Linked DNA regions of Cricetulus griseus. The protein of the gene in region 7 purifies or fractionates together with the protein of the main gene of each other region. This does not show direct contact. Links are inferred from orthologs where the notes say so. Each region holds a gene or a part of one and is shown on either strand. Other genes may lie near its edges.

Region 1 (4,148 bases), on a different chromosome or scaffold from region 7:
ATAAATGAATTGGTGACCTCAGAGGAAGATCCCAACCACCCGCTAAATTTCTAACTTGTAAAAGGAATTAAGAGCCTGGTGTGCTGGGGCACTCCTTTAATCCTAGCATTGGGAAGGCAAAGGCTGGAGGATCTCTGAATCTGAGGCCAGTCTGGTCTACCGACCAAGTTTCATGATAGCCAAGCTTAGGCAGTGAAAGACAGAAAGAAAGCTAGTGAAGATGTAACTGAATGAGGGGGCCATATTCCAGCCCCAGCAAGCAGCATACCTTAACAGCTGACAGCGTTGGCCATGTGGTTCTGATAGAGTTAAGGATAGAAAAAAAGGAGTTATAGAAGTACATGTCAGGGTGTCCCTGAATGGGGGCCTAGTAGAGAGGCTATTGTGTGAAGCTGTGGAGTTGAAGCCTGGATTGCCTTGGAGAACCCACAATGTTATAGACACCAAAGTCATGGGTTACCTGCAGAGGAGAGCTACTAACAGGGTGTGGAACCACCCCAAGAGAAAGAAGTGTCTTGTAGTCAACAAAGATGAACAGAGTTGGAGATCTGAAGTGTTTTAACATCAGACAAGAAGATGCAGAGTTTGGAGTTTGCCCAGCTGGTTTTCAGTCTTTCTTTAGTCTGGTATTTCCTCACTATGCTCCCTTCCCTGTGTTTGGGATGAAAATGTATATCCTGTGCCACCATATGTTGTAAGTATATGATCTGTTTTCTGATTTTGATTCTACAGGGGATTACAGTAAAGAGATTGCCATGCATCTGAGAAGAGACTTTGAAACATGTTTGGGTCTATTATAAACTATGGGGACATTGGGAGGTGGACTGAATGCATTTTTGCATTAATATATGGCTATAAACCTTGGGGGCCAGGGAGTGGAATGTGGTTGTTTGAAAGAAGATGGTCCCCAAAGGGAGGGGTACTATTAGGAGGTGTGGCCTTGTTGGAGGGGAAGTGTGTGTGTGTGTGTGTGTATGTGCGCGCGGGGGGGGGGGGGGGGGGCAGGCTCTGAGGTCTTTTCTGCTCAAGTTTCCCTCAGTGTGACAGTCAGTCAACTTCTTGCCTGCACTCTACCATGCTCCTCCTCATGACAACGGACTGAACCTCTGAAACTGTAACTGAGCCTCTTCCATTAAAGGTATTCATTTATGACAGTTGTAATGGTCATGGTAATAGCATGGTCACAGCAATAAAAACCAAACTAAGACACCACGTAAAGTTAGAAGGCAAGAACTGACTCCGTAAAATTGTTCTTTGGCTTACACACTCACACACAAACTCAAGCATACATACACACCACACACAAAAATGTATTTTTTTTTAAAGAATAAAAGGTAGATATTTGTTGTTGTTGGAAAGGTTATCTCCTTACCCCCCTTTTCCTACCAAGTACAACCAGTTAAGCAGAGGCAGGCCAAGCAGAGACAGATGTAGGGAAATCTCTGAGTTCAAGGCCAGCCTGGTCTACATAGGGAGTTCCAGCGCAGCTAGAGCTATGTAGAGAGGTCCTGTCTCAAAAAACCGAAAAGGAAAAAAGAATCAGATGCTTTGAATATGTGTGCATGTGTACACTGAGGGTTATATGTACATAAAAATATTTTGTGAATATTCAGGAAACTGATTAAACAGGTTACTTCCAGGGAGAATGAGAAAGACAAGGGAAAGGGATGAGGGAGCTCCCTTTTAAATATAAAGGTTTTTGTATTTAAAACATGTGAATACACTATTTTAAAAATATTTTCCTCTCTTTGCTCCAGGAATTTCGAAAATTGCTTTAATTTTTTTTTGTTTGTCTTTTGAGACAGGCTTTTGCAATGCAGCCCAGGCTGGAGTCCAATTCACAATTCTCCTGCCTCAGCTGCCTGAGTGTTGAGACTACTAGAGTCCACAGCCACCCATGGCCTAAAAGCCCCTAGTTTGGGGGCTATTTTTTTAAAGCTTTGAAAAAAATTCAAATAAAAACTCGGGCCCTGAAATTTCACTTGTTGGGTAACCAATGGGCAAATCATCTCCTGTAATTCAAGCATATTTCCTCACTTGTAAACTGTAGCCTGGTACTGTTTTACCTACTGGAGTTTGTGAGGATTAAACAGGATAAAGTGTTCTGCACAGTATCTGGCACACTATAAACCTACAATAAATGCCAGTTACTATTACTATGTAGTATGAATACAGTTATCTCGGCCCCTTTTTTTAAGCAGCATCCCGAATACACACCTGTTTTCAAGTATACCCACAAGTATGGTGCCTTCCTACACGCTCTACAACGTTCTGTGTTTTACAAACCACCTGTCCGCACTTCATCTTTCATCAAACGGTAGCCTTGGGGCATCAATGTTAATTCATTTCGCAGATAGGGAAACCGAGGCAGGAACTCTTAGATCTAATTTTCCTGTTTCTAAAATGAACTCCGAATCCCTCAGCCCGCTCATGACTCCCTTGGTCCCCTGCTCCCGGAGCCGTGTTCCGCGCGGCACTGACCTGAGCGAGCGCCCCGGGGCCCGGGACCTCGCGCCGGGCTCACACCGACTAGGCGCGCTCGGGCCGCCAGAGCGTCGCAGCGGCCGGGTCCGCTCCGCAGCCATGGCGCCTGCGGGGAGAGGGAGAAGACAGGCCGAGGGGGTGGGTCAGCAACGCCGCGGGCGCCCAGGATCCCTGCCCAATCCCGCCCGGCCCAGAGCCCACACAGACCTGGACCTGCGGCCGCTGCTCTGGTCCGCAACCTCACAGGGGAGCGGCTTCCGGTGCTGCTTGCGTCATCTCCGCGCGTCCCTCCCGGCACCCAGCGCCCAGCTCCAGGCGGAAACGGCTCTACTTCCGGCCCCGCCCACCCGGAAGGTGGGAAAGAATGGTCAGGTCTGTGGAGAGAGGTGGAGAGGTAGGCTATTTATTGCCTACCACCTACCTGACTTCACTTAGACCTAGTGACCCTGAACTAAAGCTTCGTTTCAAGGCAGCTGTCTAGATTTTCACGGGGTGTTTATGTTCCTCATCTACCCTTGTTTTCACCAAGTTGGGAGCAATTTTTCATCGGGGATTAAGGCTACAAATTAAGTTGTACCTAAATTGAGACAACCCATCACACTTGATACATCCCAAACTGGATTCTGGCACAGATGAACAAATTCCTAACTGTGGGAGGTCTACATCTGGTCGTAGGAGAAAGACAGCATAAACAACCAAGCAAACTATGTGGAAAGAAGCAAGTGCTGTAGAAAACAAAACATGGTTAAGGGAGTTGGATAGGGGCAGCCAGGTGAGGTAGGCGTGAACCATAACACGTGCACCCTGTGCCCAAAGATCGGTTGAGGTTACTCAACCATGGAGACGGCTGTTCTCTATAACACTTAAGTTACTTTGTGAGAGCCAAAGTTACATTTTAAGCCCTTGTAAAACTTGGTTCTGGGCCATTTCCTGGGAAACCAGGTATGGACCGGGCCGGATCACATCTACCTGGCCAATATTTAATTGAAGTTTGCTTCAAATTTGGCTTTAAACTGTGGTAGTGGTCTTATTCTCGAGTGGTGGGTGGGATTAATAATGTATCAGTTGACTGGCATCCTTTTGCTCTCTCCAGACAGAAACCATGGTAAGCAAGAAACTCTTCAACAAGGAGAAGCTCTTTAATGCTGCTGTGTGATAGCCTTTTTGTTATTGTCTTTCGAGACAGGGCTTCTCTGTGTAGCTCTGCCTGTCCTGGAACTCCCTCTGTAGGCCAAGCTAGCCTTGACCTGAGATCGGCCTGCCTCTGTCTCCTGAGCAGACAAGGGCAATGAGCAGACAAGAGCAAGAGCAGATCCTGGAGGAGGGGTGTCAACAATTTTTTATACATGAAGGGCACAGTAGGCCTGGGCATGACGAGCATGGTGAGCATGGCTCTGACAGGCCTTGTCCTTCCCCCATTCCCTCTGCCTTGCTACACTGTTAGGTTACATTCCTAAAGCTAGCCACCAAAGTACTTCTTTATTTGGCTACTTCCTCCTCCTGAGGGTGACTATCAAGGTCCAGCTATCAAAAGTATTAAAGTCTAGCAATCAAAAGCCCCCTTTGGTTCACCTAATTAACATGCCCAATCAAAACAAACCAACTAATCCTAACAAACTGCCATTTGCCTATGGGCCATACCTGTCCCCTCTATCAAGAAGTAG
Region 2 (3,969 bases), about 57 Mb from region 7:
ATTACATAGCCCTGGCTACCCTAAAACTCAAGATATCCATCTCCCCTACCTCCTGAATGCTGGGATTGAAGGCATTTGCTACCTTGTCCAGAGGGAGGTCTACTTCTTAACCCTAGCAAATTCTGTACCAGAAAAGTCTGGTGTTACAAGGCTATTCAGAATATGAGCCCACCTGTTTGGGTGGCTCATTTCTGTGGGGTCAAAAAAAAAAAAATTAAAGAAACAAGCACAAACCATCTTTTATTTAACCTTAACTTTAACAGTCCTACTGTAAATCCTGCCATGCAATTATGAGGACCATCCTGCAGAAAGACCATTTTATTTCAGGACAGAATGCCAGGGACAAAGAAACTCTCCAGTCCTTAGTACCAAGGATCTCCTGCAACTAGTTTGAGCCAGAAGATGATCTGGGAGAAAGTTTCTGTTCTGCTGGCACATGGTGCCCTCCTTAGCAGGCTTAAGCTGCCAGTGTTACCGGGAATGATGCCCACTCTGGACCCTGGCTAGGAGTCTAGGAAACCAACCAGGTGTAAGCAGAATGCACAATGGTCTCCCCAACTGGAGGCACAGCTTCTGTCCTGAACCAAGGGGGGCGGGGGGTGTTAAATAGGGAAGGCAGTACCAGCTGTCCAAGAGCACTGACCTACTTACTATGAGTGCCTGTCTACAGTGACCTTTATAGGATCACAACTATTCCTTCCCAAGGGGGAGAGGGACCCCAAACCCTGTGTTTCTACCACTTAGAACTCTGCTTCAACAATGATTTGTATTTTTAGACTTTCCAAAAATAAAAAGTATTCTGATTGTATTCAATCCATAAATAATTTCCTTCTCCCAATCTCTGACTTCTCTAACCCTCCCGCTGTCCTTTGTCCCCACCCCTACCCTGAATTTTGGATACCCAATCACTATATCTATATTGAACCCTATGTTGTTGGCTTTTTTTTCTTGTTTGATATGGGTTCTCATGTATCTGGGACTGGCCTTGAGCTCATCAAGTAGCTGAGGCTGAATATAAACTTCCAATCCTCGTGCCACCACATCTTGAATGTTGGAATTAAAGGCATGTCAATTTTATGTAGTGCTAGTGATGGAAAGACTTTGTGCCCAACAGGCAAACATTTCCCGAGCACTACATTACCAGCTTCTTCTGGGCTGTCCTTGAATTGAAGATCCGCCTGCCTTTGCCTCCTGAGTGCTGAGATTAAAAATGTGCACCACCATACCCAGTGCTTCCCTACTCTTCCAAAATGGGCATGCCTTAAAATCTTTTACACTATTGCTGGAAAACACCAGTAGTTTAAAGTCAAAATATGACCTGTAGGTTAATTGAAAATGTTTGGAAGGAGCCGGGCTGTGGTAGTGCACACCTTTAATTCCAGCACTCGGGAGGCAGTTGGATTTCTGTGAGTTCAAGACCAGCCTGGTCTACAGGACAGCATCCAAAGCCACAGAGAAACCCTGTCTCGAAAAACAAACACAACAACAACAAAAAATAAAAATAAAAAAATGTTTGGAAGGGATGCAGCTTCCTTTAGAGCTTAGCTGGCTTTGGGAAAGATTCAGAGCTCCCCAGACCCTTCAGTGAAGGTGTCCCAGAGGCCACCAGAGGTACTACAGCTCAAACCTTCCCCCTTCCCTCCTACGTGCAGACAGGCACAAACTACGGTAGGGGCGTGGCCTCACTGCACAGCTTGGTGTCTGTAAGACCACCCCCAGTCCTGAGCTGAGCTGTTACACTAAGCCTTAAGAGGCCAGCAGAGGTTTGCAGGCCACCACCCACGTGGGCTCACCACGTGGGCTCACTTCTTCCGACTACTCCATATCCAGTCTAAGTCTGGCTCTTGGGAAAAATTGCAATACCCAAGAAAGTATCATGTCAGGAATTAATCAAAAAGTCTGTCATTTATTTCTATCCGTACCAGAGTGAAGTTTGCAAGGATGACTCAGTACTTATGTACTCTTACCAGCGAAGTAAAAAACCTCACAGGCGACAACTCATTTTTGTAGTTTACCAGTTAACTTGGCTGTGGGTATTTGGGATGATTCAGAAACTTAAAGTGAATCAGTCATTTTCCTCTACCTCAATCTCCACCTTAGTGCTTGGCCAACTCATCTTGACTTCCTGTAGAAAAGCTGAAGCAAAAGACACTAAAAACCCAAGTAATGAGTCTAATGCAATAGGTTTTTTTTCTACCTTCCTGCCCATGGATGGCTCGTTTCTTCTACTCAATATTAAGAAATCAACAGCTTTAAGAAATAAGATGTCCTTTCCTGTGATCATACCTTCTTGCCAAAACAGATGGTATATCCAACCCCCATGAGACTGAGTTGTTTGGAGTCAGCTATGTACTAGAAAGTGATTAATTATCATCCATATAGTTCCACTTAAAAGCAGTAACTCAAATGAGTTCACAGAAATTGTCATTCTGGATACTGGTTGTTCCATGAGAAGCTGCTGTGCCTATCACTCAAGAATTAAGAGTGGACCTATAGACTAGGACCAACCACTCACACTTCCAGCACTCCAGTAGCACAAAGGGCCTGGTCCCCGGCATTTTGCTGCCCCTTCCCCCCTCTGGAACCTGCGATCCTGGCCTCCAAGTGCTGAACCACCACACTCAGTCTGAGTGACACATAGAAGTTTAACTTAGGGAAATGCACGCTAGCTCAGTATTTGACTGACTAAACAGGGGCCTTACTAAACCTAGGAGTACCAAGTTTTCCCCACTCACCCAAGGATGAGAATCTTCTCGAATGCCGCTAATGTGAAAGGATGAGTCATCTTGCCCAGACCCGGTGGTGGATTACAGTACACTTTCCCACAGAACAGCCTCACTGCCTTACCTACAACATCCTCAGGCCACCAGACAGTAAATTGTTTGCTAACAATGGTACCTTGAATCCTGACCCAAGGCCCTCCCTTCTGTACTCTAGAAAGTAGCCCCACCCTAAGTATTGTGGCAACAGAACTTACTGCAACAGCTTCCAAATCCAACTTCCTACAAGCCAGGGAGCAGAAAGGTCTTACATGAACCATCAGGGACGAGAAAATCAGAAGAGACTGATCCGGGTACCTGTTCCTTTGTTTCTACCGTTACAGTCGAAGACAAAAGCTGCAGCATTTGTCCCTTTAGATAGCTGGCTTTCTTGGGAGTTGCAATTGTTAACATTAGTTACATTGTAAACACGGACCAGAGAGAATTCGTTTCCTAGGGGATACTGGGTGTTCATTGCCTCCCTGCCTCCCCAAGCTTAGTACTAATGTGTAGAGGAATAACTGGGCGACAGACTCGGCCTTCAAGGTAACTGTATTTCATCCATTGACAAAAAAAAAGTACATGTGCACGCCCTCGTGGTCATTTCACCTGAGATTAGTCATGTCCGTACAGACACGGAGGCCAGTAACTCCAGCAGTCTGGAGCAAATGTCTAAGAGGCTGAACCACCTCAGAAGATTCCTAAAACCTGTGTATATCCCCCGCTGCCTCCACGCAGGACTGGACCCACATTATGAGGCTCTATTTATCCTATCAATCTCCTGGGTTTGGAAGAGGAGATAGATCCAGAGGCATCTTTCCAAGACTGTATTTTTAAGTAACCTTCAGACTAGGTGCTCTACTGCTTACTCAATCCCTGTGTGCGGACCAGCTCGTGCAGCCCCATCCTTCCTCACAGCACTGACTTGACAAATTTTGCTTCCCTAATCAGACTGAACTCTGTGGGCTATGAGCGTTCTGGTCGCATCGGGCTGCAGCTACATTCGGAAGCCGCCCTTGGTTGATCGCCCACCCCGGGCCAGCACGTTGGAGCAGTGTGACTGGCTGGTCCAGGAGCCCTGCGGTACGCGCAGCCTCGCCACCGCAGGATGGACCGCGTGAGCGCTTGCAGGCACCCCACATGGCCCGGGTAGCCCGGAGCACGAGTGCTTCGCCGGCAACCAGAAGAATCTGCGGCCGCACAAAATAGG
Region 3 (4,280 bases), on a different chromosome or scaffold from region 7:
AGTTAGCTCTTTTGTTGTTTGTGTTCTGTTTGGGGGGTCCTGTAGAACAGGCCAAGGGTCTGGATCATGTTGTGCACGCAAACTATAGCTGAGCTGTACCCCAGCTACATCAAATTGCCTCTTTATGCATTCATTCTTTTTACAGTTCATATTTTATTCATTTCACTCATCCACTCTCCTAAGATATTGTCATAAACAAAATATTTCATTTTCTATTTCTTTAATAACTTCAGTCTGCTTTCACAATATTGATGAATATTTATAAAGAAGAGTCAGATAAAATGTGCCATTCTATCCACAGTGAGCACTGTATTACTATCTGAGATACTCCCTCATCACTCTGAGCAGAAAAACTGCAACATAGAAAGCAGGCTGATGAGAGACCATTCCTCCCACACTCACAACCCCACAAAGCAAGTGTAATAGATTAGCAGGGAAAATGACATTTGAAAGTAAGTTAGAACAAAACAAAGTTATTATCCCCCCCAGATTGCCATGAAAGCCTTTCATTGGCTGAAACTTGGGACAAGAAAAGTAACAGCAATAGCAAAAACACACCTGTGTGCAAATTCACTGTCAACTGATATAACCATTCAAACACATACAAGGTTGACCACAATTCGACCTGGAGACATTAGTAAATGATACTTCAACTGAGCTTCTGCCACAGGGATGATAAACCTGCCAAGCGGTGAGAGGAGCTGCATTCCTCCAGGGGAAGGTAAAGGGGGAGACCTCTCTTATTTCCTAATATCACACATTTCCCAAACACTAATCCGCATGACCAGAGGTATCAGCTGTTACTCAGATCCGCACTCTGTCACTTAAGAAGGCCATTCTCTTCATTTCAACTCCTACTGCACATTCACAAGGAATGCAAAAGTGCCTATTACACTGCTGAAATGTCATCAGAATCTCAGTAAAAGGAATAAATGCAACTCCATATCCTAGTTATTGACTGGCAACTTCAGGGAATCCAGTTTTGGTTGCTCTGCAGATACTATTTATAAAGAAAAAAATTGCTATCTTAAAGTTAAGGCTGCGGGAGATGTTAATGTTCAGATGAATTTCAACAGAACAAAATATAGTTCTTTAATTTTTACACTTTATTTCATGCACACAATTAGACTCACTAAGATGATATACTGATCCAGCATTGCTGTCCTGCCATCTAAGTAAATGCTGTCTAAGTAAATCCTTTAGAAACAGCATTTGCAAACAAAAACTGCCATGCCATCTTTGACATACACTGAAACACGCTTAAGTGAAGCTAAAGAAAGCAATGTCAAATACAGGATTCAGTGCAAGTAACTGATGAAAAATTGACTGAAAATGTTAAATTCTTAACAATAATCCCCAGAGGCAATTCAACTTTTCAGTAAGTGTAAATCTAGGAAAGGACACAGTCTCTCGGAACATTTTTCTTCAAGTATCAGGATTTCTATAAGGTGGCTGAAAAGGACTGGGGGTGGCTGTGCCGAATTCGATCACATAACTAATGCTACCAAAATGATATGTTTACAAGACAGCAGAGTAAAGCCTCATTCTCCAACAACTGGCTAGACATTCTCAGTCTCCTGAAGTTAACAAGGGATGAACAAAAAGTGTATCTTCCTATTTCCTCAAACCAAGTTCCCAGAGTGTTTTGCATACCGAGCAAAACACATTGTGCAATGCACCGGCATTAAAGTTGAGAGAGTTTCTGTCTGTGAAGTAGATAGTGACTGAGCCAAGGACACACAGGTTCAAGTCCAAGCTGAATATTAGGCGGGTGGCTTGAAAACGTCAATCCAGAAAGGCCTAAGGGAAGGGATACAGGCTTTCACTGTTGCCATCCTTCCTCTCCCCTCCCCTCTTTCTCTCTTGTTCCCTTCCAAGCTTCTCTTTCCTTGCGGTTTCTCATGGAGACGACAATCAAAGCAGAGAAAGCTGGTTTTAAATTAGTGTGATACACACTGGGAATATACAATTCCCAGGAGGAAAAAAAGAAAGGAAGAAACTGAAGAGGGGAGTGGGGGACGGTTGGAAACATATCTAAGTGACAACCTCCCCACCCCCACCCTTTATAGCACATATCCATAGATTGTTCCTGGACCCTATTCCTTCCAGTTCCCAGTACTCTATCCAACTTGACCCTTAATCCTGACAATGTAAAGAACTGCAGGGCATTCTCTGTGCGAGTGTGCCTCTCTTGGTACATGAGACCAATTTACCAGAAGCCCCTGAATCCGGACAGTTGTAGCAGGCAAGGATGCTCCCCACCATCCCACCCACCCGGAAGGGGTGAGGTTAAAGAAGGGTGAAAAGAGATGAAAAGAAGATAGATAAAAGGCATGCAAAGATGAGCTGAAGGGTGAGTGTCTGAAAGAAAAACAGAGAAGAAAGAAAGGGTGGGAAGGAAGTAGGGCTGGGTGAGAGAAGAAAGGGATGAAAGAAAGGCTGGAAGGGAGAAAGGAGCAGAGAGGAGAGAGGGATGTTGGGAAGGATGAGGGCGGGAGGGCTGGGGAGCAGGAGGGAGGGGAGGATGGAGAGGATGGGAGGGAGGCAGGAAGGGAGGGAGGCAGGCAAGGATGGAGGATGCTCTGCCCGGGACTCACCTCTGTGGGTCGGTGGGAGTTTCTCGCCTCCTCCTCCTCGTCCTCTGTCTGCAGCAGCTGGCGTGGAATGACAGAAGTGGCTGGAGAGGCGGCGGTGGGGACTAGGGCAGCTGCTGCAGCTGCTTCTGGCCGAGGTGCGGTGCCGCCCGCTCCGCCCGGGTCTCCGCCTCACTCAGGGCTGCCAGCAAAGCCGCTCCCCCCTCCCCCCGCCCGCCCCGCGTCCTGCCCTAGCGAGCGGCAGCGGCCCGGATCGCCGCTAGGGGAGGTACACAGTGCGCACGCGTAGCCGCTCTCTTGCTCGCAGGCGCGTGCCCGCGGCTCGCCCGGGCTGGCAAAGGATGAGCACGCGGGCGCGTGGCCCGGGAGCGCCGGAGGGGAGGGACTGGAGAAAGGCGCCACAGAGGGCGCAGGTGCCGTTTCCATGGCAATGGCGTTACCCTCTGGGCGGGGACCAGGAGCTTGATGCAACCCGGCCAGGAGAGGCTGGGTTTCTGAATGATCTGCATGGGTGATAAAGGGCTGGATGAGGACTTCTGCTCAAAAAGACCGAACCACGTGGCAGCAGGAGGCCAGAGCCCTGCTGGACCTGCAGCCCCGAACGAGGGAAAACCTGGAAAAGAATGGGACAGTTAAGGAAAACAGGGCCGAGGCTGTTTAACAAACAGCCTCAGTTTCTGGACTCAGTTTCTGTGGAAGGCATTGCAGTTGTCGGTATTACACACTCTAGGCATGTTGAAGTACCTATAATGTTTAAGGCCACTCTCTGTCCTCCTAGGGGTTACACAAGTTGGGAATATGAATAGAGAGACACGCGTGCCTTGTCAGCCAGAAGTACTGGGAGCTTGGTGATGGGGTCTAACTGTGAGACATACTTCGAGGCAAAACGGTACACAGCTATATCCAGCGAGAAGCATAAGTTACAATTGTCTTTGTTCGACCACAGTGCCGAATGACAACTTTGGCTTTGTCTGTACTACATCAAAGCAGAAAAGTGGAAGAAAGCTTACGGCAGCTTGGCATGCAGTCGACACTTATTCCATCTGGAATCCTCGTCCACTACCATTGAATCTTTTGTTCATGCCGTGCTTAAATGGCCCGGCATCACTGGATGCTCGAATTTCTCTTGCCCTTTCACCCTTGGCTGCGTCCGGAATTTCCTCCACTGTTGTTCCTAAGTTGCAATTTTGCAGTTGTTAGGAAATTACATGGAACTCAACTGTGCTCCTATCTCTAAGTTGCCACTATATGATCCTCTATCTTTCTCTCCAAATGTCTCCTCGACTTTGTTTTCCTTTCCCATCACCCCTTGACCATTTTTAAAACGTGTAGGGAAACGTGGACAAACGTCACCAAAAGCAAGCTTTAGAAAACATCTTCCTCGAACAATGCTGGTTCAGGACCACGGACAGTAGCACTGCCACCCTGTCAGCTTTCTTCCCTCACTCGGAGACTTTTCCTTGCTCTCTACTTATAGAAACTGGAGAAATATTCTAAAGAAGATGCAGTTTGAGGGGAAGGGGGAGGATAAACAAACAAAATAAAACAACTAGCTAACTAGATAAATAAATAGATGCATGCAGATCACTTAAAGAATTTGTGGTAAAATATATGATCCCTGTGAAAAGGAGCCTGGAAACTGGTCTTCAACTAGAGTTTGAAGAAATCATTGATTTAAAGCAAGAA
Region 4 (3,500 bases), on a different chromosome or scaffold from region 7:
CATACACCCACTCCTCACACCCATACACACATCCCCCTACCTGGAATTCTTCCCGAAGCTGGGAGGAATTACTCTGAGGGTCAATTCGGATCATCTCCCTGTAGGTGGCCTTGAACTCATTGACAGGGATGGTAGTCTCCCCGCACAGGCAGGCCTCCAGGATTGCATCATGGATGAAGATGTATTGTTCCTAGAACAAGAGATGAGAATGTAAGAACAAAGAGAAGGCTTGAAGCTGAGCTCTACCAAGGATGAAGGAAAAACATAGCCACAGCTGCGGCAAGGATGCTTGGCTGGGTCCAACCATCGCATCAGCTCATCTACTACATCCCAGGAACATTCCCAGGAGATCATCTGAGCGCTGAGGGACAGTCCAAGATCCCAGATCTAGTGAGGGCACAAACCCTGGTACACGTGACTCTGGAGCCCGCCGCCGCCATCTGACTCACCTGACACAACACCATGAAGTGAGATTTGGAGAGAACTACAAGATCCCCCCAACCCCCCACTGCCATGTTTGAGATGGTCCCCGGGAAGGAAGGGCCTAGGATGCTCTGAAGACACGTTACCCCAGCTCTGCGCTCCATGACAGAGACCCTGAGACCTAGATGGAGGGGAGAGGTCGGGGACAGGGCTGGTCTGAACCTCAGTCTGGATCATGTTGACCCGCCGAGAACAGAGGGTCTTCACACAGTTGTAAATGTCCACGACGCCCTCACACTCAGCCATGTCCAACATCACGTCCAGGACGATGTAGCAGCCTGTGCGGCCAGTGCCTGCGCTGAGGGGAAGAGAAGGCCAGCACCACATCAGGGGCAGGGGCTCAAAATCAGGGAAAAGAACTGGGGACCAGGGAATCTGCCCAGCTACATAACTTAGGGGTTGGGAGCACTCCAACAAAGAGGGATTGTGAAGCTGGGGTTCTGTATGAGGTGACAGAGGACACAGTTGAGGGCGTAGAACAAGACCTGGGGAAGGAAAGGACAGAAAGAGGACGGGCGGACATGGAAGTGAGGCTAGCTCAACTTAACAGCCAAGACTCGGCGGAGAGACGGAGGTGATTCTCGGAATGCAATCTAAGAACACACATTCCCCTTGGATATCCCAGACTCCTGCATAGCATTCAAAACCCACACATCCAAACCCATCCAAAGCCATCCAAAGCCATCCACACCCATCCAAAGCCATCCAAAGCCATCCAAAGCCATCCAAACCCATCCACACCCATCCAAACCCATCCACACCCATCCAAACCCATCCAAACCCATCCACACCCATCCACACCCATCCAAACCCATCCAAACCCATCCACCCATCCACACCCATCCTCACCCATCACACCCATCCACACCCATCCTCACCCATCCACACCCCATCCACACCATCACACCCATCCTCACCCATCCACACCCATCCCACCCATCCTCCACATCCACACCATCCACCCATCCACACCCATCCACACCCATCCACACCCATCCACACCCATCCACACCCATCCACACCCATCCACACCCATCCTCACCCATCCACACCCATCCACACCCATCCACACCCATCCACACCCATCCACACCCATCCTCATCCACAGTTGGAACATCCAGCACTTCCAGACACACGGCCCTCTTGCAAACTCTCAGAGCGATATGGCTAACTTCTGCTCAAACCCTGGCTACATGGTCCTTATTTATGTGGCCAGCTCCCTAACCCCACCTGGATCCATCACTGCCTCCACAGGAGCAGTGTTGATGGGGAGGCAGGTTGGGAAGGATGCCCCAGGGTTCCGGCTTTGAAGCCGCCATCATCAAAGCATCACCGAGGACTGCACGGCTCCAATCACCTGGACAGCACCCACTAGAGCTGACTGTTCACAGATGGCAGTTCTGCCCTACACATGGCCCACAGCAATGTGGGTGCATTTCCTCTCAAGAAGCCAGCCACACCTTAGAACAGCTGCTCTCAACCTGTGGGTCTTGAGCCCTTCAGAGTCACATATCAGATATCCTGCATATCGGATATTTATATTATGACTCAGAACAGCAGCAAAATCACAGTTATAAAGTAGCAATGACATAATTTTATGGTGTGGGGACATTATCACAACATGAGGAACTGTATTCAAGGGTGGGAGCATTGGGAGGTTGACAACCACTGTGTCAGATCATCCTTAGGGCTGCCATTTTGTTTTAGCACCACTATTTCTGGTGAAAACCAGTGGATCCCGAGCAACAGGAGGTGGACAGATACGCCAGAGCGTTTTCACCCTGGAATGTGGTGCTGTGTGGATGGACCTCACACACAAAGGAGAGGGTAGAAAGTCACACAGCAGAGAACTCACACTGGCGGGACTTAATTCACACCAAGTTCAAACCCATGAAAGGGTTCCTGCAGGGAAGAAGTCAGATTGTGATTGCTCTGGGAATAGGGAACATTCCAGAACTTGGCTCTGTGTGTGTGTGTGTGTGTGTGTGTGTGTGTGTGTGTGTGTGTACAGTGGGGTGTTAATACTTTATACTTTTACATGTGTACAAACTTGTCAGAAGCCAGAGGTCAGCATCAGGTGTCATTCCCTAGGAGCACTATTCATTGTTCCTTCTGGACCAGGGTCTCACACTGGAACCTGGGACCTGCTGGCAGGGCCAGTGAGGGGCAGGGATTTTCCTGTCTCTGTCTCCCAAGGCCAGGATGACAGGCACATGCCCCCATGCCCAGCCTTTTACACAGGTGCTGGGGATCAAACACCTCCATCCTCCATCTCCCACCCCCATGCTCTGTTACTCTATAAGTTACTCTATAAGTAACAGATCTATAAGACTGAGCTCACGGTTCAGCTAGTAAACCATCAGTTGCAGGCACACTCACTGTTCATGATATAAATTACATTTTGCATGACAGACTTTTTGTATCAGTTGGAATTCATTCTTAGAAGATGCTATGTTAATGAGCTCTGAAGAGAGAGGAAGAAAAAGACAGACAGACAGACAGACACTAACAGGAGGCTATAGGGCAAGGGAAATCAGTTAGTGAGAATTCCTGCAGAGAAGCCCGTATAAGCCACAGGAGCTGTAGGCTTGCAGGCTCCAGGATTGCAGCTGTGGTAAGGGGGCTCCAGGGATGCCAACCTCAGAGCCAAAGCTCACAGGATCGTTGGGGAACCATTCTCTCTTATCCTCTGTCTCCAAGCAGGCTGAACCCAAGTCCGGTCCTCTTTAGGACCCAAGACCCTGCCCCACTCCAGTCCAGCTCCCCCAGCCTTGGTCCCTCTCCTTGGGATCTCCCGGGCTCCCACCTGCAGTGGATGACAATGGGCCCAGCATCAGGTGGAGTGGAAGCCTTCACACGCCTGATGAAGGCCAGCAGCCCCGTGGCATGGTAGGGGACGCCATGCTCCGGCCACGCTGTGAAGTGGAACTGGCGGACCTCATGCCGGGTCGAGTAGCCTCTCTGTGGAAACCACAGTGGTGACAGTCAGTTGCCAGCAGCACCCACTGGACACCTGC
Region 5 (4,003 bases), about 53 Mb from region 7:
GTACAACCAAAGAACCAACCAACAAAAACCCTGCTCCCACCCACCACCTTCTTTGTGCAGTCTGAAGATGCCTAGTCCTGGAAGACCTGGGTGAAGTGGAGGTGGTTAGCCTGAACTCTCAGAAGCACACAAACCTTCACCTGCCTGGGACTGGGAAGGGCTGCAAGTGAAAGCAAGATCAGAAGGCAAATGTAGGCCAAGGAAGGCACAGTCTCTCCTCTAAGCTGACCCCAGCCCAAAGATGAACCAAGAACCTTCCAGGCAGAGATCCACCACCCTCCCTGGATAAGGATGCTTTGGGCTCTCAGAGTCCACAACAGTCTGGGAGAAAGGGTATGCTAGCCCCAGTCTTAGGTTTTTCCCTATCTCCTGTGAAGGTCTGTCTGGTTGAAAGGCAAGATCATTTTAGACCTCGCTGCCTGTTCTGTTTTCCAGGCCTTCATCAGGCCTATGACAGTGCCTTGTAAATTGTGAAACACTCTGCCCAGCTGCTTCATAATTGATATCACTTGAGGGGGTTCAAAACATAAAGTATTCAGTGTGGCTGCACCCAGGCGTATTAGGAAAAGGCTATTTCTCCGGATCTGACAGAGACCTGAGACTCAGCCACTCCACTTCGTCAAAAGGATAAAGAAGAATGAGGAGCCAGAGCAGGAGCTAAAACCCAGGTGCCTGTGACCATCACGTCACAGCACCCCCCTAAAGCCAGTTGGCAGAGGCTCACAGGCCAAGCATTCTTCCCAGACAACTGCCTTCGCCTCCCCCTTTATTGATCCCAACCAGGTTTGGGGGTTGGTTGTTTTTGGTTTTGTTTTTTGGCTATTTTTTTTAAGCAGGCATCCCTACCGTCTGTGGTGTTTATTTCCAGGGAAGGCCGACCCTGGGCTCCTGTGGACAGATGCTGCTTTGCGCCTTACTGTTAGGGCTGGCAGCATACACACAGCTGCCTTGAGCAGGTGGCCAAGGATGGAGGCCACCCTGGCCCGGAAGAATGATGACCTCTCTATCTTAGGCCCTGGGAGCTCTCTCTCCATTCCTCTGCAGCTTGGGACACCACCACCTCCCACCACCACCCCCACCCCGCAACATCCGCACCTGCCCTCCTCTGGAATCAATCTTTAAAGATGTCTTGAGAAGTGGAGACAGAAGGCTAAAGTGCCCTCATCCCAGGCGCAGTTATGCTCTGGGAGGCCCTGGGAGTGAAGTCACTGACCCCTTCCATCAGCCATCTGTGAGCTCCCGCCGGACTCCTCTAGCCCGATGGGAAGGATAAAGGAGGTCAGGACAGATGGCAAAGCGTTTTGGGAAAAGAGGTCTCTACAGGAATGCAGGGACAGAGGGAGGCCAGCTCTGGGATGTTTTGTTATCTGTCTGGAGCTGCCTGCTCGGTTCTAGGCACCCGCAAACTCTCAATTAAAATGAAGGCATACCAGGCAGGCGTGGGGTGGGAAGAGGGAATGACCGTACTTTCTGCCACTTGTTTCTCCCGCTTCAAAGTCGGTGCTTTGCTCTGCAACTAAGTGCGTGCGTGCATGCGTGCACAGGGGGCGGGAGGCTGGCACAACCAAATCTAAAAATACTCGATAAAAATGCTAATCCCAAGGCAAAGAAAGAGCGAAGAAGGAATCTGTCAATCAACGGGCTCCCGCTCCTCACCCACAGCTGTACCGACTGCATTCCTGTAGACGAGGAAAAGAAGTGGGGGAACAGAGCTGAAGAAAAGAAAGGGACACACGCCACCACCTCCACGAGCGCGGGGCGGGAGGCGGCGGCGGAGGAGGGGCTCGGCCGGCAGAGCCGAACAAAGCGGGGCCTCTACTTGGAGCCCAAAGCCCAGAGAGTGGGGGGCCAAGCTCAGCAGCACCCCTGCTGCCCACAGGCGGCTAGGGATCCTTGAGGTCTGGAAGCCAGAGTGCCGCATGGAAGCCTGGGCTCTGAGCCTGGACAAATCCGAAGAAGGTTTTGTTTGGGGTCCCTCCACCCACTGCCTGTCCCCAACACTAGAGCGCACACACACGCACACGCCCTCCCCTCTCCACCCTGGCCGCCCTAGAGGGCTGGGCCGGCGCGCCCCCCGTCGCTCCCGGCCCCCACCTGGGGATGGTAATGCACTTGGTGTTCACGTTCTGTGTGGTGATGGCCTTCTCCAGCTCGTCCAGCTGCCCCGTCTTCTTGAGCTTCTTCACCAAGCTCTTGACCGCCTTCTCGCACCATTTCTCCTCCTGCCCATTCTGCTCGCCCTTCTTCCAGCCCAGCAGGCGCTTCACGATCGGAGGGGTGAAGGGCAGGATGGACGACATGGCTGGCACGGGAGGGTCACCGGCGCCCCCGGCGGGACTGGGCGCACTGGGGACGCCGGGGGCGCACAGGGGCAGCTCGGCCTGCGCCGCGCCCGAACTTCGCGTCTAACTCTGGAGAACTTGCCCCGGCGTCCGGGCCGGGGCCGCGGCACTCCAGCTGCGGGGATCGGGAGCACGGTGGCGCCTGAGTAGCTCCACGAGGACCGACGGACTGACGGGCAGGCCCCGGGCGCGCGGGGCGGAGGCGGTGGCCGCTGAGACTCCGAGTGGCAGTAGAAAGTTTGGGTTTCCGCACGGGGTAGCTGTTTGGGTGCCGCCTCCGGGAAGGAAAGTCCAACCCCCAGCCAAACTTTGCTGGCCTGGATGACTCTGGTGAGCAGATCCCTCCGCCTCTGCAGTCCTCCTCCTCCTGTTCCTCCTCCTCCCCGCTGATCGCCGCCTCGCAGGGCCGGCCAGGGCCGTGCAGCGGCGCTCCCCGCTCCTCTCCCGCCCGCTCCCAAGTCTACGTTTCACGCAGCTCCGCGTGCAGGCTTCTTCCCAGCGCTGTCGCCGCCCCCTCGCCGCTCGGGCTCCCCGCTCCTCCCCCGCGCTCAGCTCCGGGGAGGACCCGCGGCCTTCCCCGCCCAGCGCCGCCAAGCGCGCCCACGTGGGCCACCGGGCACGGCGGCCGCGGGACCAGACTCTTGGGGACTCGCCGCCCTCAAGACGCTCAGATGCAGTTGCAGGGACTAGAGAGTGTTAGACTCGCCGGAACAGGCGCGGGACCCCTAGGGTTCGCTGCTCCCTGGAGAGTACTGGGACAAGAAGAGGGGTTCAGTTCCAAGCCCAGGAAGCCGGGGAGCACTGATCTCGCTCACTGGCCCCGGCTGTTTTCCTTTGGTTTGGTGTTTTTTGTTTTGTTTTGTTTTTGTTTTCCCGCTGGGTGAGATCAGACCGACTGACTGCCCGGAGACTGCGGAGGAGGGAGTTGGGAAGGGGGAGAGGGAGACTTAAAAGTGGAGTTAGAGACCTCAGTGACAACTTGAACAATAGCTGGAGCCTGGGGTCCCTTGGGCCTAGTGAACCAAGCTCTTTGCAGAAAACGGGCCTCAAAGACATCTGTTGCATTCCTTAAGGAATGAATGGGAGCGCTTTAGGATTTATCTTTGGGGGAGGGGAAGAATTAACATTGCTGGGTGTTACTGAAATTCGACGCCAAACAAGCAAGAGAGCTTTGTTTACAAAGCAGTGAACTCGCACATACAAAGTGGAACGAAGTTTACTCAAAGTTAGCCTAGGTAGGACACCAAGAGAACCTGACTTTGGGTAGCCCTGGGGCCCAACTATCGGAATTCGGGGCTGGCTGCCCATGGTCCTTTCACGGGCTTGGAGGCGTTACAGCAGGCTCTCAGCTCCTTTACCCTGCGGCTGCAATCCCATCGGGTTAACTCAGTAGGTATAGGACTATGCTTGTTTTAAACAGTGGGAAACCCCACCACCACCGACGGTGGTGAGAAAGAAGTTATTTGCAAACCAAGAGCCGGTGGGAGTTACAAAGACCTATGAAGTGTGGCCAGTCCCACAAAGTCAGCCCAGAAGCTTCAGGGGCCCCCAGCTCTGTCACCGAGGGTGCCCCATCGCCAGCCACAGCTTGTCAAGAGGCTGTGGTTTCCTAGGTGTCTCCTTCCACCTCCCTGAAGCCAAGTCCTGAAAGGAGGAGGATT
Region 6 (3,500 bases), on a different chromosome or scaffold from region 7:
CCTGCCCCCCCCAAAAAGGGAAAAGAAACAAAGAAAAAAGAAAATTGCATGGATGTAAGAGAAGGGAGGGTGCTGTTCATTTCAAAAAGGATTGCAGCTGCCATGCAAATCAGGCCTGCAGCTTGGCAGAGCAAGGACACATTACAGTCTTTCCTCTCAAGAAGCCTGGTCCTTTGACAATACTAAGAACTTGGCTAATTGGGAGACAAAAGCTTTCTAAAGTGCCCACAACAACAGGTAAGGTGCCTTTGGCATCCTGTCTTGGAAATGTAAGCTTGGAACCACTTCACAACGGGGTGGACAAGGATTAAGGAACTCTTTTGGTTTGGGAGGAAGGAGTGGGGGAACCTTTTCCTTCCTAAGCTAAGTTGCTTCAAGCTGCAAAGTCTGAGATTCCTTCTTGGTGTCCAGGATAAATGGACCCCTCTTTCTGTTTTCCTCCTTTTCATCCCACAAAACCCAATGCTTACAGTCAAGCCCAATTTAGGTGGCTTCTCTTCCCTTATCTCAATTAAGAGACTACATTCCTTCTAATGAGATTATGACAATTTCAGTTACAGGACCAAGGGGAAGTTCTAAAGTGCCTGCAACAGCCACAGGCTTAAGAAACAAACAAGATATCGTTCCACAGCTCAAGACCCCACATCAGTTTCCACAATCTATCTACCTTTGTATTCTGCTTGAATACAGACAGATTTACTCACTCCATTATGGGGATTAGTGTTTTGTCTTCTAGACTATGTCAGGCCAGGTTAAAAGGACATCATCTAGTTATAATACCAAAGTCCACAGCAATTGGGAGCGAGACACATGCTACTTGATCCACTCTAAACATAACTAACTGGGATAAACAGGTTATAGTCATTTGATGTGATGTAAAGGGGGTTAGGAATAATATGTACCATAACTTTATATTGCTAATAGCCAGAAAGCCTCCCATCTCTGGGTGAGTCAGTGCAAAAATTTGCTGCTCATCAGTGGTTCATTAGTCAACAAGGGACCAGAGAAGAGGGGTTCAGCCTGCAATAAGGATGCATCCCAAGCCCTATATGGGTCAGAAGAACCCCAAAGCAAAAACTAGAGCACAGAAGCAGCAACTTCCCTGGGCAGATGTACTTGGGCTGAACCTAGCCAAAGATGCCAGAGGGAGGTGGGAAAACAAAGTGAAAACTCAGAGGAGTTTATCTTGGCCAAAGGGATTTTCAAGTTAAACAGCAACCCCCACCCCCACCCTTCTGCCCAACCCCTGACCCCCATTCACATGCTCAGGTCTCCACTCTGGAATTGATGACTACTTGGCTAGGTTTCCATTCATGGCAGTGGAGGAGTAGCTGGTAGAGAGAGAGGCACCTTGCTCACCTCTCTCCTTTGACAGGTCAAGGTTGGAAGCTCTGTAGTGACTGGGTTGAAGCTGAAGGGGTTCAGGCCGTACCCTGGGCAGCTGAGGGATACCATGGGTGATGCCTACAGGCTTGGCTTGAGACAGAGAGTTGGCTCCAGAAATGGAGGCACAACTGGGCTCATCTACAGGCAGCAGTACATCCCGAGGCCTGGCCCTTACACTTTGGGAGGCCTGTGATTGAAGGTTATAGCAAGGACCCATGGGCAGGGGTAGGTGTGAAGGTCGAACTAGCTGAGACAGAGAGTCTCCAGGTGCTCTTGGGAGCCCTGGCACTGCCATTGCCATTGCCACAGGAGGTACACAACAGGTTGCCTGACCATATGAAGACTGATTAAAAGGCCCATCCAACTGATTGGGGCTTATCCAAGCAGGGTCTGGCTCCAATGGAAGAGGACATTGACCCCAGGTTGGCCAGTCATAGGCCCCTGGAGGTTCAGTGTAGAGGGACAAGGGACTGTCTCGGCCCCATTCTCCTTCCTCTTCTTCACCTTCTTCATCTGAATCTTCCTGGTGGGCCTGTAGCTCATCAGACTCCAAGTAACCCTGAGCTAGATGAGAACTGGAGAGGTCCAGGTCTAGGGTCTCTGCATTGTCAAGGGAACGGCTTCTCCTATTGAGTGCCATTGCAGCAGGTGGAGGTCGAGGGTGTATGCCAGGGAGCCCCAAGTATCGAGGGAGGCTGCTAACACCCCAGGGCAGGCCTTGGTAGAATCGAGTGTGATAGCTATTGAAGGCATGTTTTTGGTAATAACCCAGCTCAAAAGCTTCCAAGGAGGCTGTGAGGTCTTCATCATTGTGGAACTCGGGATTTTCTTCACACTTGCCTTCTCCATCCCGTTCCACATCAGCAATGTCAAAGGTGACCATGGGGGGCAGCTCAGGGAGGTTTTGAGTGAAGGATGAATCAGAGTCAGAGCTGCAGGACATGCTGGAGAAAAGGTTTCCGTTGCTGGTAAACTCTACTAGGGCCTGTGAGAAACTCACAGTGGCATTCCCTTCCTTCTCATCTTCTTCTTCCTCTGGCTCCTCAGGGGGTGAGTAACTAGGGTAGGCCCTTCTGGGAGATCCTCCAAAATTTGCTTCTTGCATGTCTGGCTCAAACATAGCATCACTCTGGAAGAGCTGCATCAAACAAGTACTTTGATCTTTTTTGGAGCAAGTCCCCTCAAAACGCTTCTCCAGAGGACGGAAATCCCGCCAGTCTGGTTCACTGCTAGAAGTAGCAGGGAAAGCTGAAGTGGTTCCCCGGTGGGAAGTCTGAGAAGCTCCTGAATTCCCTGCCACGAGGCCCATTACTGATGGGCCTAAGGGCCGCATCTGATACTCCAAGACAGGCTTCTCCTGCCGGACCTGGGTTTCTCGGACTCGACCCTCTTGAGCATGAACTTCTCGGGCCTTGACTTCTCTGCTTCGGACATCTCTGCTGTAAGATTCCCGAGTGTGGGTGTCTCGAGCATAAGCCTCCCTGGCATGAGCCTCTCTAGCACATGCCTCTTGAGCCTCAAGCTGCTCCCGACGAAGCTCCCAGTATAGCAACTGTTTCTGGATGGTCACTAGCCGTTCTTCCTCTGTTTCCATTGCTCCGGGTGGCCGAGAAGAAAAGGGCTCAAAGTTCAAGAAAGGACCAAACATCTCGGAGCTGCGACCATGAAGGTCATAAAGGCAGTCATCCCCAGGAGGGGAGCTCTCCAGACTGTCATCTGGCTCATAGAATTCATATAGGGCATCGCCACTGTAGCTATCTCTGGGTAAACAATCCCTGTGGACAAGCCCCAGTGCCTCACCTGAATCATCCTCAAACCCTGGTGTGGTAGAATCATAATAACCTTCATCACTATTGGGAGCAGACTCTTGCTGGTCACTCTGAGGAGTCAAAAGTTCTCCAGGGCCTAGGCTAGGGTAAGACTGAACTGGGTCAAGGAGCATGTAGCCCTGGTGACTTGGGGATGTAGCAGTATGGTAGCCCAGGTTCAGATTAGATCTTGGATATATCTGGGTATTTGCCCACAGATACTCTAAGTCACCATCTTCCTCCCCATCTTTGACTTCCTCTTCCTCATCCTCTAATTCTACCTCCTCATCTTCCTCTTCCTCATTG
Region 7 (3,959 bases):
CAGCTGCAACCGGGAAATGTCTTAAGAGACAACACAACTAAGTTCCAAAAAAGTGGCTAAGCCCTGGGACAGCGTACTTCCTCTTTTAAAGGCTTTTCTCCCCAAGGAAGACTATATGCATTCTCCCAGAGTTCTACATCAGCAGGTAAATCTAGGTTCCCAGTCAAGTGGCGCACAGCGTTACTCACAGGTAAACAAGGAAATAAGAACCTTTCTCCAGGGCATAAAGAGCTCCTGCTTCAGTTCCGATCCACACATCACTTTTCTTTTGTGAAACCACAAGTCGGTACTCATCTCACCCTGTCAGTGATCTATGGGTCACACCCTCTGCCACTGCTCAAGGGTTGATTCGTCTGAGAGCTGTGTCCTCTAAGAGAGGGCAGAGGCTGCCTCCACAGGCCATGTAATGTTTGCTACAAACAAGCTGTGAACACTGTTTATCAGAGGTTTGTCTCACAGGTAGAGCTTCTGACCAAGTTCCAAAGCACACTAAAAATTTACCACCTCATACCCAGGTGATGGGCCCAGACCACTGCCTCACCTAAACACTGAGATTGCATTTGACTGGTCTACTGGTGCTGTCCACTTCACTGCTTAGCAGTATAAGGATCCAAACTCCCGACCCCGGTGCGCACAGGCTCTGGTCTCTGCCCTGCATTCATGTGGAAAAGGCTCCACCAGTACTGTGCACACCCCGAGGTGCTTGTCTCCTTGTCCCCCACCTTGGCGGTGGCATTCTGAAACCAGTGCTAAAGCTTCATTCCCAGCAATTTCTATCCCCATCATCACTATAGAAGTGGACAGATACTCCCCAGGAGACGTTTAATACCCAAATATACATTCTCATGGGGACTCCAGACGGGTGGCTCTCAACCTGGAGGTCGAACGACCCTTTCACAGGGAACACCTAAGACCATCGGAAAACAAATTATTTATTTACATTACGATTCATAATAGGAACAAAATTAAGAGTTATGAAACAGCAACGAAAACAATTACATTTTTGGTGGTCACCACAACACAAGGAACTGTATTGAGGGTTGCGGTATTAGGAAGGTTGAGAACCGCTGCTGTAGACAATTGTTGAGACAGTATTTGACACCTGAGCTTCCCTCTTTGAGGCTGGTCCTCCTGCGACTATGAAGTCTGTTCCAGGCAAGCTCAGCTTCTTTCTGTCTGAGAAGGTCTGGTGCTAGCTACTCTAGAGAAAGACGCCTGCATGTCTCCAACTTGTCCAGACTCGGCCTTCATTCAGGACAAAGGTCAGGGCACAGAACGACCATCCCCAGCACGGTCATCAATGCTGTCTGCTGCGAAAGGGGGCTCTCAAACCTTGGAGACACTTCTTTTTAATCCGGGGATTTCTGAATATTTAAAGGTAAAAGTGAACTAAACGTAACAGCGGCCTCAACTCACATAAAGTTTGGGCCCAATGCATCGAGACATAGAAGCCACAAGCTTAAGCAACGTTCAATTAGAAACCAACAGAGCAAGCTGCATTCCCTTTCCTGGGACGGGGAGGGCCTGCACCCGAGACGTCTGCAAGCCACACAAGTAAATGGCGGCATGGCTTCCTTCCTAAACCCCAGACAAAACGCGGCACAACTTGGCCGTGTGAAAAACATGAGGCAGACTTCATCAAAGGCAAAGCTGCCGTCTCTCCAGCCGGCCCGCTGTCTGGTCTAAGCCACCATTATTCACGGCACAAAGCTCTCGTTTCACTAAAACCACTCCTCGATTTCCTCTCGCCGACCTCCGCATACCAGCGGCCCAGCCACTCTCCATTCAGCGCTCAGGCCGGGCGGGCGGGCGGGCGGGGGAGGGGAGGGGAGGGGGCCACAGATGTCTGCAGACCCGAGCCCGAGACAAAGCTGCCCCGCAGCCGCCGGCGCGGCCGAGCCGGCCCGGGGCCCCTAACTTACGAGTCCGCTCCCCGAACAGGGCACACACTCGGAACAAGTCTCCGCGCTCGCCCGGGCGGGCCAGGCCGGCGGTCCGCGCTCCGGCCACTCTGTCTCTCTGTGTCTCTCGGCCCGAGAGCCAGCACGGGGGTCGCGGAGGGCAAGCACGCTCCGAGCGGACCCCTGCGCACCCCACCCCACCACCCCACCCGCAAAACCACCAGTGGCCGCCGCTCGCCGCGACCCCGGACTCCCGCCCGCCCGCCGCACCCAGAGTTTGGCGACTCCGCGGCTTAAAGTTGTTCGGCTTCAAACTCGCACAGTGAGGTCGTCGCAAGGGAGAGAGAGACGGGGGGAGAGATCTATCCGTGCCCCGCCACGGAAGGAGGCGACGCGCGCCACCCAGCCAGCCAGTCCGGCGTCCTCCGAGCGCGGGGGGCGCCCGCACCCCGTCTCCGCGGGCCCCGGAGGCGGAGCCCCCCGCCCACCCGCCCCCGCCCCCCGCCCCCCGCAGCCCAGCCGGGACGCGAACCGCGGGTCCCACCCCACGGGCCAGCGTCCATCCGGGCTCCCGGAGCGAGGGCGTCCGCCGCCGCCCGTCCCCCTCCCCCGGCCGCGCCCCCGCTCCGCCGGCCCCGGCCCCCGCGGCCCTCCGCCGCCGCCGCCGCGGCCGCCCGGCCCGCGAAGTTTCCCGCTGGCGCGGCTGGAGCCCGCCGCCGCGGGCCGCACCTCGGGCCGCGCGCTGCTCCCTCACGGCCGTCCGCTCGCCCTCGGCCTCCTGAGCTGACGGCTCGGCGCCCACCGTGCTCCGCTCTCCGTCTCCGCCTCCCCGGGCCGCGGGCTGCGCGCAGGACACGAGCTGACGCGGCCGCCACCGAGCGAGGGCTTAAGATGGCGCCGCACAAGGAGCGCTTTATAAAGCGGCGCGGCACCGCGTGTCCTTCCGCCGCCGCCCGGCGCGGAGCGTGCCGCCGCGCGAGGACGAGGGGCGGGGGCGCGGGCGGGGCGCGGAAAGTAGTCCCCGCCGGCCCTGCCGCTCCGCGCATGCGCCGCCGGGAGGGCCGGGCCGGGGCGTGGCGTCCCGACGCCTTTGGCTCCCCGTGGTGGAAGCTGAAGGGAGGCGCGCGCGGGCGGGGGTGGGGAGGGGGGCCGCCACCGCGGGCAGGGTGGAGCGCAGCCCCTCGGAGGGCGGGAGTTCGAGACCCGAGCCCGGCTCTTGCCCCGGCGTCCGGGACACCGCCACATCCCTGAGCTGCGACTCGACCCCACCGCAGGTCACTGTCTGCAGGGGCGTCTGCTCTCACCTCCTGCTGCGCCTCCCGAACCCCGACAGGGATCCCTGGGGCTCAGCCACCTCCCCCCCACCCCACCCCAAGAGGCCACGGAGTCCCCATGAGTGCCTGTTGGTAACATCTAACTGGAACAGGCGGTCCAGCTGCAAGGCACTGTGCACCAGCCTGGTTCCTAGAAATCCTGTCTCACCGGGAGCCACTGGGCAGGGAGACTTTTCCCAAGGACTGCAATTTTATTGTCTTGTGTGAGAAACTCGAGTGTGTTGCTGAGAGGACCCACGAACAACTCCAGATTTTTCCAAACCCACTTTGCATCCTTCGAGAGCATGTTATCTGAGTCATTACCACAGGCTGAAGTTGGGTCATGCCTTGGAAATGGCCCCATTGTCGCCCTGCACGGCTGGCGCTGGTCATAACTGGAGCAGTTGGGGTGGGTTGGCTGTCTCCAGGTCTATTATTGTGTGCTCACGTCTCTTCCCAAACAATGGCAACAGTGAAAGTCGCCCCCCTGCCTTCTTTCATCCCAGCACTGTAATTAACGCAAGTAAACAATAGGCCCTTATGTACAGGTACTGGCAGGAAGCCTGTCCGGCCACTGAGCCAGAGCTAATGCTGTAGGGCCAGCTTATTTTTTAAATGACTCATTTTTCTATCTTAAAGATATATCGTCGTAGCTCTGTGAGGACCATTGTCTAGTCCTTCCCCTCTGCATCTCTGCTAGGATTTCCGGAGAATAAACGCTGCTACAGGCTGGGGCTGCTTTGGC

The links.
Region 1: the proteins of Ctnnb1 (region 7) and F-box/WD repeat-containing protein 2 purify together in Homo sapiens (affinity purification with western blotting; 4 studies listed by BioGRID). This does not show direct contact. The link is inferred for Cricetulus griseus from reciprocal best matches to the Homo sapiens genes CTNNB1 and FBXW2.
Region 2: the proteins of Ctnnb1 (region 7) and Pkm purify together in Homo sapiens (affinity purification with western blotting; 5 studies listed by BioGRID and IntAct, with this or other methods). This does not show direct contact. The link is inferred for Cricetulus griseus from reciprocal best matches to the Homo sapiens genes CTNNB1 and PKM.
Region 3: the proteins of Ctnnb1 (region 7) and Ctnna2 purify together in Homo sapiens (co-immunoprecipitation; 5 studies listed by BioGRID and IntAct, with this or other methods). This does not show direct contact. The link is inferred for Cricetulus griseus from reciprocal best matches to the Homo sapiens genes CTNNB1 and CTNNA2.
Region 4: the proteins of Ctnnb1 (region 7) and Ptpru purify together in Homo sapiens (affinity purification with western blotting; 3 studies listed by BioGRID). This does not show direct contact. The link is inferred for Cricetulus griseus from reciprocal best matches to the Homo sapiens genes CTNNB1 and PTPRU.
Region 5: the proteins of Ctnnb1 (region 7) and Smad3 purify together in Homo sapiens (affinity purification with western blotting; 6 studies listed by BioGRID, with this or other methods). This does not show direct contact. The link is inferred for Cricetulus griseus from reciprocal best matches to the Homo sapiens genes CTNNB1 and SMAD3.
Region 6: the proteins of Ctnnb1 (region 7) and Amer1 purify together in Homo sapiens (affinity purification with mass spectrometry; 4 studies listed by BioGRID and IntAct, with this or other methods). This does not show direct contact. The link is inferred for Cricetulus griseus from reciprocal best matches to the Homo sapiens genes CTNNB1 and AMER1.

Annotation. Positions count from the first base shown.
Region 1 is NC_048599.1:146,551,096-146,555,243, forward strand, and holds the start of F-box/WD repeat-containing protein 2, read right to left. Parts: upstream 2,801-4,148; 5' UTR 2,692-2,800; intron 2,591-2,691; 5' UTR 2,482-2,590; intron 2,437-2,481; exon of another isoform or gene 2,218-2,436; intron 1-2,217. UniProt on the Homo sapiens protein: Substrate-recognition component of the SCF (SKP1-CUL1-F-box protein)-type E3 ubiquitin ligase complex.
Region 2 is NC_048597.1:171,203,575-171,207,543, reverse strand, and holds the start of Pkm (pyruvate kinase PKM), read right to left. Parts: upstream 2,801-3,969; 5' UTR 2,786-2,800; coding exon 2,736-2,785; intron 1-2,735. UniProt on the Homo sapiens protein: Catalyzes the final rate-limiting step of glycolysis by mediating the transfer of a phosphoryl group from phosphoenolpyruvate (PEP) to ADP, generating ATP.
Region 3 is NC_048601.1:69,548,727-69,553,006, forward strand, and holds the start of Ctnna2 (catenin alpha-2), read right to left. Parts: upstream 2,801-4,280; 5' UTR 2,598-2,800; intron 1-2,597. UniProt on the Homo sapiens protein: May function as a linker between cadherin adhesion receptors and the cytoskeleton to regulate cell-cell adhesion and differentiation in the nervous system. Required for proper regulation of cortical neuronal migration and neurite growth.
Region 4 is NC_048595.1:21,482,937-21,486,436, reverse strand, and holds part of Ptpru (receptor-type tyrosine-protein phosphatase U), read right to left. Parts: intron 3,445-3,500; coding exon 3,290-3,444; intron 782-3,289; coding exon 646-781; exon of another isoform or gene 570-645; intron 191-569; coding exon 41-190; intron 1-40.
Region 5 is NC_048597.1:175,281,546-175,285,548, forward strand, and holds the start of Smad3 (mothers against decapentaplegic homolog 3), read right to left. Parts: upstream 2,801-4,003; 5' UTR 2,301-2,800; coding exon 2,095-2,300; intron 1-2,094. UniProt on the Homo sapiens protein: Receptor-regulated SMAD (R-SMAD) that is an intracellular signal transducer and transcriptional modulator activated by TGF-beta (transforming growth factor) and activin type 1 receptor kinases.
Region 6 is NC_048604.1:74,643,227-74,646,726, reverse strand, and holds part of Amer1 (APC membrane recruitment protein 1), read right to left. Parts: coding exon 1,292-3,500; 3' UTR 1-1,291. UniProt on the Homo sapiens protein: Regulator of the canonical Wnt signaling pathway.
Region 7 is NC_048597.1:227,990,048-227,994,006, reverse strand, and holds the start of Ctnnb1 (catenin beta-1), read right to left. Parts: upstream 2,801-3,959; 5' UTR 2,631-2,800; intron 2,265-2,630; exon of another isoform or gene 2,172-2,264; intron 1-2,171. UniProt on the Homo sapiens protein: Key downstream component of the canonical Wnt signaling pathway.